3 linked regions of the Saccharomyces cerevisiae S288C genome follow. Changing the gene in region 2 together with the main gene of any one other region gives a genetic interaction. Each region holds a gene or a part of one and is shown on either strand. Other genes may lie near its edges.

Region 1 (4,209 bases), on a different chromosome or scaffold from region 2:
TTTCTGTTAAAGAAACTCGGGAGGCTAGAAGGATAAAATATAACAGGATGAAAAGGTTAAACGATGATGCCAATGAATATGATACTCCATGGGATTTGACAGATGGCTACTTGGATGATGATGACGGTTTGTTTTCTGATAACCGAAATTCTGGCATGAGAGCCACCCAGTTAAAGAATTCCCGTTCGCTAAAACTGCAAAGAACAGCAGAGCAGGAAGATGTCCATTTTAAAGTCCCTAAGAAGTGGTATAAAAACGTTAAAAAATGCAGTCCCTCCTTCGAACAGTATGATAACGATGACACTGAAGATGATGCTGGTGAAGATAAAGATGAAGTCAAAGAGCTCACTAAGAAAGTGGAAAACTTGACAGCTGTAATTACCGATCTACTCGAAAAATTAGACATAAAGGATAAGAAAGAGTAAACGACATGTGTTCAAATACTGCTTAATTAATTTCTCAGAAATCCATATATATATATATATATTGCTCCTCATTGCAACTTTGTAAATTTAATGTTCCTTTAATTTATCATTATTTACAATATTAACTAATCCATCTCCCGATTTTCGGCATAAAATAAGTTTATATTTTGGTCTACATGAAAACAAAAGTTTAACTAAACTAACGTGTACAAACCACTTTGAAACGTATATAAAGGTCTAATAAAAACGACTGGCGTTTTGAAAGATAATATAATGATCTAATGCAGTTAAAAAATTTACAAATTATAAGAAGAAAAGAAAAACAACGATTACGGTAAAAAATGAAAACTCCCTCTCCTTTCTAGGTACGATAAATTATGACTTTCATCTTTCCCGTTTTGAAGATCTATTTATCTCAATTTGCCCAGACTTTTTTTTTATATATATTTATTTTCCCCTCTCTAACAACTGCAAGCACTGTTTGCGCTGGTCCCATCATTAGCAGCGTTCAAATCCACTCTTTGATTGTTCGACTCACGTTCGTTACTTGCACTATTTTGCTCTTCAGCCGTCTTCAGTGGTATCTTTTCACCGATTCCCAAAAATACATCGTTAACATTCTCTCCTGTCTTTGCACTTGTTTCAAAGAACAACAAGCCCTTTTCTTCCGCTAGCTTTTCACCTTCTTCCCTTGCGACTTTTCTTTCCCCACCTTCTTGCAGCATATCGATCTTGTTACCAACTAACGCAATGATGATATCCTTTGATGCCTGTTCATGTAATTCCTTAACCCAGTGGCGCGCTTTAATAAAGGATTGTGGTTTTGTAACGTCGTATACTACAAGAGCAGCTTGTGCGTTTCTATAGTACATAGGTGCTAAAGATGCAAATCTCTCTTGCCCAGCAGTGTCCCATATTTCAAACTTAACAGTATGTTCATTTATAGTAACTCTTTGAGTGAGGAATGCTGCACCAATGGTGGGCTCCTTATTTTCGGCAAAATCATTAGATACAAACCTTAGGACTATTGACGATTTACCAACTGCTGCCTCACCCAACAGTACCAACTTTATGGAAGTGACTGATGTGTTCATTTTTTTGTGTGATAAAAGGGATATTTTTTTATAGCTTAGATAAGTCGACGATCTTGCTTTTTATTTTTAAAATCGTTGCCACTTTTATAAGATAAGCTGCTCGTATTTTCACCTCACTTCTCTTTCTTTGTCTTTTCGGGGATATTGTTTTAGCAAAAAGCCCCATAATGCAAACCGAGAAAACCAAAAAAAAAAAAAACACGTATGAGGTGACAAGAAACTAGATAATCAGCAGACTAATATCTATAAAATAAATCCTCTGGTATATACCTACCTCAGCATAAGTTTATATCGTCATAATCTAGGTTTTGGCTTTGTTGTTGCCTCCGGGTTCATAACTATTGAAGTAGCATTGGAGACAATTGAGGGTGTTCCAGAATCACCAAAGAACGCCACTGTTACTGTCAAGTCATCTCTGTATCTTCTACTCATCGGCGATGGTATACTTACCAATGCCGATACATATTCTTTTCTTCCGCCCGCACTTAATGCATTTCTAATTAAATGAGTGGCGACGTTTTTGTCTTCAATAAGATACTCTGGGTTTGATCCTGATGGTGAGCTCGAATTATTATCCTTGTACCTGAATGCCGGTCTTTGTGCTTCCTTGTCTTCAGATACATCGATAACTTTTGGTAATTTCCCCGGTTCTGCCTTCACAGGTGCCAGATTCATATTTTTATCCATCCACCTGATAACCAAGGAAGCAATTTCTTCATTAGTTAGTAATTCGAATAAACCATCCGAACCCATCACCATAAATTTAGTGTTCTCACCAATTTTGGCAGAAGTAATCACTGGTTCCGCAGTGACATATGGGGGTGTCTTGAAATCCCTTGGCTCTCTTCTAAAATAAAGTTTGGCAACTTCAGGCAAATCCGATAATGGTTTTCCATCGACTTCTTTGATCTTGTAGCGATAGTCTCCAAATGCCCTGGATGGTTGTAATGAACCCAATATTCTTCCGTTTCTTATAACGTTTGGTTCTCCTGGATGTTCTTTCCTAATTCTCCGTACTTCATCCAAATTATCACCGGTCTGGTCGGTGGATAGCGACTTTACCGTCCAATTGCCCTCGTTGTCCAAACCACAAATTAAAGCCCTTGAGTCTCCAGTGACAGCCACTTTCAAAATTGAGTTAGTGGAGTTGTATAAACTTAATAGTGCACAAGAACCAGAAATCGCTGGTAAAGTGTTTGCAATATTTGTGTTGTTTGGATCTTGAAACAGCTTCCTGAACGATTCGATTACAAGATCATTATCTAGTTTCAAAAAACCTTTCGAAATTGCAGAATCGATTAATTGGTTGGGGTCGGAATGGAAAACCGTTTTGTTCTGGTCATATACCTGACCTAATTGATACGCTACATAACGGACTAGATCTTTAGATAATTTTTCCGAAGTGAAAGGACCACCATGTCCATCAAAAATTCCAAAAAAATACAAATCCTTCTCTATGGACTTGCCATCCTCACTTTCTATCGGAATGGTAATGATTTGTTCTACGTGATCGTCTTCTATTGGATGGTTAGAGGGCAACTGTGCCACATCATACCTGAATATACCAGTGCCACGGTTAACAAAATGGCTTTCCTCTCTATCATGTAGTTTAGCCTCTATTTTAGAATCGTTCAAGATAAGAACAGATTGGTCATTCTGAGACCGTTGACTCTTTTGTGTCTCTGTTCCTTTTGGATTAGGTGACGGCATGTTAATGTTACCACTAGTATTTGTAGAATAATCTTTTATTCCGTTAATTGTATCAAGGGAGAGGATCTTTTTAGGGGAATAGTAGGAGTAGGTCAACAGTAGGGACCCGCTTAGTAGAGCAATGTTTAGAGCTTTAGAATGTGATGATATGAATAGCTTTGTCCTTGAATAGTATGTGCTGTTGGCATGTGATGTTGAATATGCACGTTGGAGAAACTTCTGTGTGTATTCTCTACCAGATTGACATTTAGATAGAACCTTAACCGTTTTCTTTATAGCTACGGTTCTAGTTAAGGGAGACATGGAGAGATTGAGAGAAGTAAAAGCACTTCTTCTGTTGAAAAATTTCAGTAGAGCACAAATTCAATTAAAGTAGCAATAGATGTTTCTTTTCCTGCCTATCACACGATTTCGTTTACCCTCCAATCGATCCTTTTTTTCTTTTTTGTATCTTGTGTAGAAAGAAGTGAATCCTGTTTTTCTACATAATGAAGGGCCGGTAACTGCTCATTACTGAGTTTTAAAGTAGAAAATAAAAATGTATGCAATTGGTCGCCAATACCTGATAACTAAGAATGTAACTATGCAAGGGATAAGGAAATTTAGTCAATGCTGCCCATCACACCCTGAACAGCACAAGATTGCAACCTCTGAGAGTATTTCTTAAGTTGGAGACTAGTGGAGGAAATGAATTGGCACGTAGCTCGTCGAACATGATGAACTGTGATGATAATGAAAAAATTTTTGTTCCCCAGCGATGAGTTAGTGAAAATCGACAATATATCTTTTTTTAATCAATGTGTTTTACTATTTCTAGAAAGCAAGGGAAGCCACTCTATTAGTAAACCTCTGGGCTTTACACATATAAAATCGCAGGAAAGTTATATTTCGAAGATGCCACCAAAAAAGGGAAAACAGGCCCAAGCGGCTGGTAAGAAGAAGGATAATGTCGACAAGACGTTCGGTATGAAGAACAAGAA
Region 2 (5,308 bases):
CGACGCCGGCGGCGACTTCATCATCACTCAGATGTTTTACGATGTTGATAATTTCATCAACTGGTGTTCCCAAGTTAGAGCTGCGGGCATGGACGTGCCCATTATTCCCGGGATCATGCCGATCACTACCTACGCGGCCTTCTTGAGAAGGGCCCAATGGGGCCAAATCTCCATCCCTCAACATTTCTCGTCCCGATTGGATCCTATCAAGGACGATGACGAGTTGGTCCGTGATATCGGAACTAACTTGATCGTGGAAATGTGTCAAAAATTGCTCGACAGTGGTTACGTTTCTCACTTGCACATCTACACCATGAACTTGGAAAAAGCGCCTCTCATGATTCTGGAAAGATTGAACATTCTACCTACGGAATCAGAGTTCAATGCACATCCATTGGCCGTGTTGCCATGGAGAAAATCTTTGAATCCAAAGCGTAAAAACGAGGAAGTCAGACCTATCTTCTGGAAGAGAAGACCTTACTCCTATGTCGCAAGAACCTCTCAATGGGCCGTGGACGAATTCCCCAACGGTAGATTCGGTGATTCGTCTTCTCCTGCGTTCGGTGACTTGGATCTGTGTGGTTCAGACTTGATCAGGCAATCAGCGAACAAATGTCTCGAATTATGGTCCACCCCTACTTCCATCAACGACGTCGCCTTCTTGGTCATCAACTACTTGAATGGAAACTTGAAGTGTTTACCTTGGAGTGATATCCCCATCAATGATGAAATAAATCCAATCAAAGCACACTTGATTGAGCTGAACCAGCATTCTATCATCACTATAAACTCTCAACCTCAAGTCAACGGCATTAGGTCCAATGACAAAATTCATGGTTGGGGACCCAAGGATGGTTACGTTTACCAGAAGCAATATTTGGAATTTATGTTGCCCAAGACTAAGTTGCCCAAGTTGATTGACACCTTGAAAAACAATGAGTTCTTGACCTACTTCGCCATCGACTCTCAAGGTGACCTGCTAAGTAATCATCCAGACAACTCCAAGTCCAACGCTGTGACTTGGGGTATTTTCCCCGGCAGAGAAATTCTTCAACCTACCATTGTCGAGAAAATTTCGTTCTTAGCGTGGAAGGAGGAGTTCTATCATATCTTGAATGAATGGAAACTAAACATGAATAAATACGATAAACCGCATAGTGCCCAATTCATTCAGTCCTTGATTGACGATTACTGCTTGGTCAATATTGTTGACAATGACTACATTTCTCCAGATGATCAAATCCATTCCATCCTACTAAGCCTATAATAACACAGACAACGATAACAGTTCTTTAACAGAATTGTCAACCCCCCCTCTTTGCATTACATTCAACATTACATTGCATTTTTTTTTTTTTATTCACTATTATTATGGTTCTTCTTTTTTACCAGATTTTGCTCCTTCCTTTTCCATTGTTTTACCATTCTTTTTTAACTAGCATTTCAACATGTGTTTGGTTAACACCCCTTCTTTTTTTTCAGGAAAATCCTTTCATTTCTTCTCATACTTTCAACAAAGTTTTTTAAAGGTACTTTAAAATAGTTCAACACCCTCTTCCTTCATTTATTTATTCTCTTCATATTCAACATACTCGAAAAGGAAGAACACTAAAAGTACTTACATTTTCACATGTATGTATACCTATATATATATATATATATACTCTTATAGATATATTTACAAATTAAAGGAAAAAATAATAAAATAACCTCCCTGTCACAAGTTAAAACACGGCCCCATCACTTATAAATAGTCTCGACTCGTGTTTTTGACACCAATTAGCTACTTTTCTCGCACTCTTGAATAAAACCCTTTTGTCAACAATCCCATTATTTCCAATCAGATACAATTCAAAAGTGGGCGTCACCCACGCCATTCCTACCATATTAACCGATTCTTGTTTGAATGATGAATTTCCAATAATGTACTCATCCAATTCAGAAAAATCCATTTGTGTTTCGTCCATCGCCAAGTCCTCATTGTCTTTGGAACTCCATCTAACAAAATTTAACATAGACCTACTTAACAAATTGCCATTATCTCTCACTACCGTGCCATGTAACTGTTGGTAGTATGTCTTCAATTTCAATTCATATTCTAGCCCCTGTGAAGAATCCAGTGCGATGTTACTGTTGACTTCGAAGTGCGGCATAACATATTGAACGTTTTGCTTCGATTTATATATGAAATGATGAACCATTGGTGCTGGTATATCGCTAAGCTTGAACCCTTTTGAAGTATTTATCTTTTTCAATAGCTTCTCTTCTTCGAGTTTAATAATCAACTCGTCACTAAACGACTTCAATGAAAAGAATGCATCCTTTTGTGCACTTATTAATACTAGTGCCGATTTCTCATTGCTGTGAGTATCATTAGGTAGAAACTTAATATAACAATAAAGAAAACCACTCGAATTGAACTTGGGAAAACAAATGGGTACCCAAAGTTCCTGAGTTTCGTCTAAATTTTGAAATTGATGAGATATTAGGCAAAATAGAAGATGTAAATCTGTAGTGTGTAAAGTATGGCCTCTGGGTCGAAGAACACAGCACAATTTATTCTGAGGCGCAATTATCAAGCCGTACAGTAAGGTCCCCCTGGGAATGTCCTGCCTTTTCTCCAGTTGCTGTAAAACCACATTCTGCAACTTTAATCTTGAAGAATGGTTAAATGGTAAGCATTGTAAAGAGTTCAATAGTAAATCCGGGAACATTCTGTTACAGATTAGTGAACATATTTCGTCTAAATTTTCAAAATCTGTGCTTTCTAGATAATTTCTCAGGTCGAAATTTTCTCTTTTGGAAAATAACCTAAGTAATTGGCGTTCACTTAAAGACGAAAGAATATACGAATATAAAAAATCCAACTGATTCAACAATTCGTTCGAGGACTCGCCTCTTTCGGATTGAGCCATTAGTAATATAGGTGATTTATCCAAAAAAGTAAGCCTTTTACCAGAAGTTAAAGTGGATATAGTTTTCAATTCCGATGGTCCATTGACTTGGAAGTAGCTTATTACCGTATTAACGAGCCCTGTATATGACATGATCTGTTCATCTTTGCCGTGCATGCAATAGATCGGTTTACCCGCTGACGTGAATATGAAGAAATTTTTGTCACAGAGAGTCTGGCTCTCATTTAACTTGCAGTTACTATTGAACTTCGAAAACTTGAATACATTAGGAATTTCGTTACTTACGTACGGCCGTCTCTGTAGTTCCGATCCTCTTATAGATGTTTCCATAGAATATATGCTTTCGGCCAAGCGACTCCTGATGTCATTCTCGCTGTCCAAATAAGGACCGAAATCCTTTTTTGGACTGTTTAGTGCTCTCGTTGTATCATCATTGCTCTTTGCCAAATCTGCTGACAATAAATTATTTTTAGCTTGCAATTTTTTTGTTTGCAAAGGAGATCTTCTGGATGCCAAAGATGTTGTATTCAAAGAATTTACAGAGGTAGATTTACTAACAGAATGATCATCGCATATTGGCATTGCTATAGGCGCCTTCTTGAAGAATGTTTCATCTAGATTAACCGATGTCGTTGGTTCTGAAGTCGTTGCCACGATTGGAATACCCTCAAAATTCCCACTTTTACTATGCTTCAATTGACCCTTCGGTATCTCAGCATCTAGGTAGCTTTCATTGAGATTCATAGTTCCGATGTACTGATTCTACGTTTGTGTACTTTGATAGACTTTTTTATTCAATTCGTATTCACTACTATCTTTGTCTCGTACCGCGGTTTTTATCCTTTATTTCAGCCCTACGAGATAGAACGATGGAGCCTAGTAATACCATTTTATGTAAGCAAAATAAGAAGAAAGACTAAAAGAATTAGGATATGTTGTTAATCAGGGATAAAGGTACGCATACTAGCCTTACTACGTAAATATAAGGTTACGGTTTACGATCACTATTGCAAGATACTATTGTTTAGCATTGGCAAAGACTTGACGGGAAATCTTTGATTGGGCCCAACCATATTCATTAAAGATCCGGGATGTGAGCTTGAACTGCTTTTCGACGCGAAGAAGGTTTACACGTATTTTAGTAATTGGCTTATTCACTAAGGATTCTTAAGGTTTTCTTAATAGTTTTCTACGTCGGCATGCGATTGTTTGGTTTAGAAGACTGCTTTCTAAATATGGTTGGGTGTATTTAAGCTAGACCCATACACCCGCTCTATGGGATTATTTACTTGTTTGAATTTTAAGATTTGTGATAATGGAACTGGACGCAAACATTTGATGGAAAACGCATGTCATCATTAACGAGGTAACGTAGGTATCTGTCCTGCCTTAGTATTGCACGCAGCTTCCCAGGACGCCTAGCTATTTTTTCATCTATTCCCCTCTGTAGTAACGTAAGAGTTTTCAAGTTTTTAATTCAGACTTTCTCTTCCTTTGTTTCCAATTTCCTTCCTTACTGCTTGATACCTTTTCAATCCCAAAGAAACCGTGTTCTTTATATATTGTCGATTGAAAGTTACCTACATCAACTTTCCGTGTTCCATTCCGACTATAACAAACAACCAATAAGCTCAACTAATTAAGTAATGTCTGCTCCAGAAGCTCAACAACAAAAGAGAGGTGGTTTCGGTGGCCGTAACAGAGGCCGTCCAAACAGAAGAGGACCAAGAAACACTGAAGAAAAGGGATGGGTTCCAGTTACCAAACTAGGTAGATTAGTCAAGGCTGGTAAGATTACCACCATTGAAGAAATCTTCTTGCACTCTTTGCCAGTCAAGGAATTCCAAATCATTGACACTTTGTTGCCAGGTTTGCAAGACGAAGTCATGAACATCAAGCCAGTTCAAAAGCAAACCAGAGCCGGTCAAAGAACCAGATTTAAGGCTGTTGTCGTTGTTGGTGACTCTAACGGTCACGTTGGTTTGGGTATCAAGACCGCCAAGGAAGTTGCTGGTGCCATCAGAGCTGGTATCATTATTGCCAAGTTGTCCGTTATCCCAATCAGAAGAGGTTACTGGGGTACCAACTTGGGTCAACCACATTCTTTGGCCACCAAGACCACTGGTAAGTGTGGTTCCGTCACTGTTAGATTGATCCCAGCCCCAAGAGGTTCTGGTATCGTCGCTTCTCCAGCTGTCAAAAAGTTGTTGCAATTGGCTGGTGTTGAAGATGTCTACACCCAATCTAACGGTAAGACTAGAACTTTGGAAAACACCTTGAAGGCTGCTTTCGTTGCTATTGGTAACACATACGGTTTCTTGACTCCAAACTTGTGGGCCGAACAACCATTGCCAGTTTCTCCATTGGACATCTACTCCGATGAAGCTTCTGCT
Region 3 (4,452 bases), on a different chromosome or scaffold from region 2:
AAATGTCTTCGGAACCATTTAAGAACGTCTACTTGCTACCTCAAACAAACCAATTGCTGGGTTTGTACACCATCATCAGAAATAAGAATACAACTAGACCTGATTTCATTTTCTACTCCGATAGAATCATCAGATTGTTGGTTGAAGAAGGTTTGAACCATCTACCTGTGCAAAAGCAAATTGTGGAAACTGACACCAACGAAAACTTCGAAGGTGTCTCATTCATGGGTAAAATCTGTGGTGTTTCCATTGTCAGAGCTGGTGAATCGATGGAGCAAGGATTAAGAGACTGTTGTAGGTCTGTGCGTATCGGTAAAATTTTAATTCAAAGGGACGAGGAGACTGCTTTACCAAAGTTATTCTACGAAAAATTACCAGAGGATATATCTGAAAGGTATGTCTTCCTATTAGACCCAATGCTGGCCACCGGTGGTAGTGCTATCATGGCTACAGAAGTCTTGATTAAGAGAGGTGTTAAGCCAGAGAGAATTTACTTCTTAAACCTAATCTGTAGTAAGGAAGGGATTGAAAAATACCATGCCGCCTTCCCAGAGGTCAGAATTGTTACTGGTGCCCTCGACAGAGGTCTAGATGAAAACAAGTATCTAGTTCCAGGGTTGGGTGACTTTGGTGACAGATACTACTGTGTTTAAATAAATCACACCCGAACACCATCTTGAAGGTTCAGAACGGCTGAAGCCGCATATCAACTTTTGGTTTCTACTGTTTTAAATTTCCTTTCTCGTTTTAAACCTTTGTTGCCGTCTCTTCTACTATCAATTTTGTTGTTCATGCATGTTTAATTACCTTTTTTTGTAAAAATAATATAAACGTATCAATGGCTATTTATAACAAATATGCTTGAAAAATCTAACGACTCTGTTTCTTACATTAGGTTCGAATAAACACGGGTACTGTCCTCTAGCCAATCTGACTTTTTGGTCCAAAGTCTTTGAAAGGTAGATAACCCCGTTAAAATAGAACCACCAATCCATGTAGTATATTTTCTTTCTGAAGGGGCTATAATCTTTATCTTGGATGTTCCTTTGGTTAATGCCTCCAAATCCCATAGCATTCGGTCTCCAAAGCCTTTAAGCGTTGTAGTTCCGCCACTTAGGATTATCGATGACAGTAAAGGTTTCCTTAAATCCAGATCGACTTTCCAAATAGATTGCATGCACATATCAGATAATCCATCGTACCCTAAGCCGATGATTTGAGGTGAAAATAATATTTCTGGAGCACGATATCGATCATTCCCCACCTCTATACACCTCCCGTCGGGCAATTTGAATGTCGAGATTAAATCTTGAGTACCTTGTAAGTATTTCTCCTCTTCCTTTTTAATATTCTTGGCCAAATAACAAACTTTCTCTTTCATCGTGCGAACAATCTCTCGTTCACTGCTGGAAAACAACGAAACACCAGCTGATTTCCGTAGTTGAAATTGTAACTGCTCTGTGATATCTGCTCCTCCAATATCCATCCTCATCATAGACGCAGGTAATGCAAAGCCGTCATATATGGGAACAGTGCTACAGTATCCTTCACCACAGTCAACTACACAACCTGTAGTTCTCCCACTAGCATATAATGACAGAACAGCAGGGTTTGAAACGTACAAAGCCGATACGTCAAAGGTCTCGAACAATACTTGAGCCATCTGCTCTCTATTCTTCAAAGGATTCATCGGGGCTTCCGTAATTAATAAAGGATGCTCACCTATATTTTGCAACTGTAGGACTTCATTTAACACATATGACCATATTAGTTCCATAGAATCCCAATCTTCCACCACGCCGTGCTTTATGGGGTATCGTAATTTTAATAATCCACGCAGTTTTTGGGCATTGTTTCCAATAAATGTATCTCCTTGCAGACCTTCGAGCATAACTTTATCATATTTGGTATTTCCTACGAGACAATATTCCAGTGCTTTAGGCCTTTCCTCACCACTAAATCCTGCTTTTATGATCCCAGAACCATTGTCGATCACTACCGGTTGATTGTACAAAGCATAGCTGTCACTTAGCTGGTCCATTGGCTAACTTTCTTTCTAATTCCTCAATTCGTGGTATAGCATTAGCATGTACTCCTTGGTCTATGCCCTTTTATTAATTTGCTGTTTTATTGGGAATATCTGCTATTTGCTTCGCTATTATTCAATAAAGGTGTTTATCATTATTGATGTGCATCGCGAAAATGGCCACTTTGGAAATGAACTTTTTCTTGAAAAGATTAATACAAACGGAAAAAGAGAAGGCAATAGGAAACTCACCGTCACACAGGTGTACTGTGTCCTTTGCTTTGAGCTCTTGTTCAGAACATTATGCTACTTAGCATTCTTTTATGAGCTTTTTTCTGTAGTCTTATTATAGGTTGATGAAAGCGTTACCTTCAAGAAATGATTTTTAACGTGGTATAATAAACACTGTTTATCATGGTAAAACAGGTATTTCTTTTATTCTTTGGAATTACCAGACGATACCCATTCAAAATTCAACTTCTAATCAAACGTTGATCAATAAATACTGTATTATGTTGCTTGTTTGAAATTAGAGGCATTGCCTTTGTTAAATTGAAATATAAACTGGAAAAATGAAGCGAAAATAAAGTACTGTCTATAAACAAAAACCTTAAAATGATTAATGTTAACCTTTCTGAGCAACGAAGCAATCCATACGTATTGAAAGCTTTAGCTCTTGGAGTACGGTGTCGAGAAATCGAAGTAAGACCTAGTAGAAAATCATTAGTTTGTATAGACTAGTCAATGACAAAGTAATAGTTGAAAACAATACTGTCTTAGTTCGCAACCATTTATATATATTTAAACTTATTTTTTACAGCCCTTGCTAATTCCTGATGCCAAGTAACGAGGGGCAAATCATCTGAGTATATACGTACATATACATCAATGATGCCAATCGGAAATGCTTTAACATTTCTGAAGAATTCTTTAAAAGGTTACTATTTTTACTCAATTCGAGAAAATGCAAAATATAATTACCCACTTTTATGTAAACATCGGTGTCAAAATCGTGAAATATACCGAATGATAATGTTGAAAAGAAACTCAAGTGCAAAAGAAAAAACACGATCCAAAGTGTATAGAATGAAATAAAAAAGAAATAGAAAAACTCCTCATCATGTAGCATATATCCGATGATAATATATATACTTTTAGTCATGATATTAATTCTGCAAAAACAAGATTACTGCATCACAGCTTATGCAGTAATCTGTCCATCATCATCGTCATCGTCGTCGTCATCATCATCATCATCATCATCGTCGTCGTCTTCGTCGTCGTCATCATCATCATCATCGTCGTCGTCGTCATCATCATCCTCACCATCATCACCGTCACCGTCGTCCTCCCCATGATCTTCAGCGTCCTTTGTTGTTCCAACAATTGCATTCTTATTTTTACAATTAAGTTCTATCAACGCCGTAGGTCCCACGATGAAGCCTTTTAAAAAATGATTCTTCTGCTTCTGTAAGCTCTGGCGGTTGCTAAAGTGAATTTTATTACTTGTTTCAAAGGTTGGTCCCGAAACTGGAATATAGATAACCTTACCCAAACAGTCGTTACTATCTAGAAATGGTTTGATGCACTTCAGAGAATCCCTCAAATAACGCCTTCTTGAAATTTCCTTAATAGCTGGTTTCCATTTAATATCATCCGTTCCGTAAGGTATATTGGAGAAGCAACTTAGAGTAGAAGATGCTCGCCTTCGATTTCTTATTCGTTCTTCAATTAAACATGAATAATCACTTTCACTGCCATAAGCATAACCAATATTACTGTCATCAGTATCATCATTAGTATCATCGCCAGCATATTCATCGGTTTCACCGTCATTTTCGTCCTCATCGGTCTCAGTAGCGCTTTCATCGTCATTGATTTCAGCGTCACGGTTTGTGAGACATAACGACCTACTGCTTTGGGATAAATCTGTGGCGGATTCCCCATTAGGAGCTAATCCTGATAGGTATATCGAAGAGCTTTGAGGTTTAGGTCTAATAGATGCCTCATCCCTTTCATTGGCTACCAAATTCGACGCAACACTCCGTAATTCCTCTTTCATAACCGCATTTTGTGATTGCAGCATAATCTCGCAGCCATCAACGGAAAGATGCTCAATAGGAGAGGGTGAATGAACTGATTCACCCACTGTGCTATTTGGAAATTTGATGGGGACAACCTCCTCGCTAATTGCACGCCTCAATGACTGTCTTTGGGGCATGGAAATAGCTCTATTTCTGTGCATTGGACGCTCTACTTTAATGGTGGTATTTACTGGAACACCAGGCTCTGGATGATCTCCCCCGCTTGATTCATGGTGTTCATCATCTTCTTCCGTTTCAATAACACTATTTAAGTTACTTGAGTTGGACCTGAGTCTGTGAAGCTTTTCTGTGCGTGAAGAATTTTTAGGCCTGAAAAAGTTC

What was found. Genes that interact genetically often act in the same process or in processes that back each other up.
Region 1: mutations in MON1 (region 2) and VPS21 together harm fitness more than expected from each alone (negative genetic interaction), as found in Saccharomyces cerevisiae (4 studies listed by BioGRID, with this or other methods).
Region 3: mutations in MON1 (region 2) and ARP1 are lethal when combined (synthetic lethality), as found in Saccharomyces cerevisiae (4 studies listed by BioGRID, with this or other methods).

Annotation. Positions count from the first base shown.
Region 1 is NC_001147.6:489,310-493,518, forward strand, and holds VPS21 (Rab family GTPase VPS21), read right to left. Parts: upstream 1,520-4,209; coding exon 887-1,519; downstream 1-886. Other genes in the region: YVC1 (Yvc1p), read left to right, coding at 1-425; type 2C protein phosphatase PTC5, read right to left, coding at 1,814-3,532; translation machinery-associated protein TMA46, read left to right, coding at 4,124-4,209.
Region 2 is NC_001139.9:273,056-278,363, forward strand, and holds MON1 (guanine nucleotide exchange factor MON1), read right to left. Parts: upstream 3,660-5,308; coding exon 1,725-3,659; downstream 1-1,724. Other genes in the region: methylenetetrahydrofolate reductase (NAD(P)H) MET13, read left to right, coding at 1-1,267; 40S ribosomal protein uS5 RPS2, read left to right, coding at 4,562-5,308. UniProt on the Saccharomyces cerevisiae protein: In complex with CCZ1, is required for multiple vacuole delivery pathways including the cytoplasm to vacuole transport (Cvt), autophagy, pexophagy and endocytosis.
Region 3 is NC_001140.6:362,113-366,564, forward strand, and holds ARP1 (actin-related protein 1), read right to left. Parts: upstream 2,042-4,452; coding exon 887-2,041; downstream 1-886. Other genes in the region: FUR1 (uracil phosphoribosyltransferase), read left to right, coding at 3-653; YHR130C (uncharacterized protein), read right to left, coding at 2,853-3,188; YHR131C (uncharacterized protein), read right to left, coding at 3,228-4,452. UniProt on the Saccharomyces cerevisiae protein: Core component of the dynactin complex which assists cytoplasmic dynein by increasing its processivity and by regulation of its cargo binding.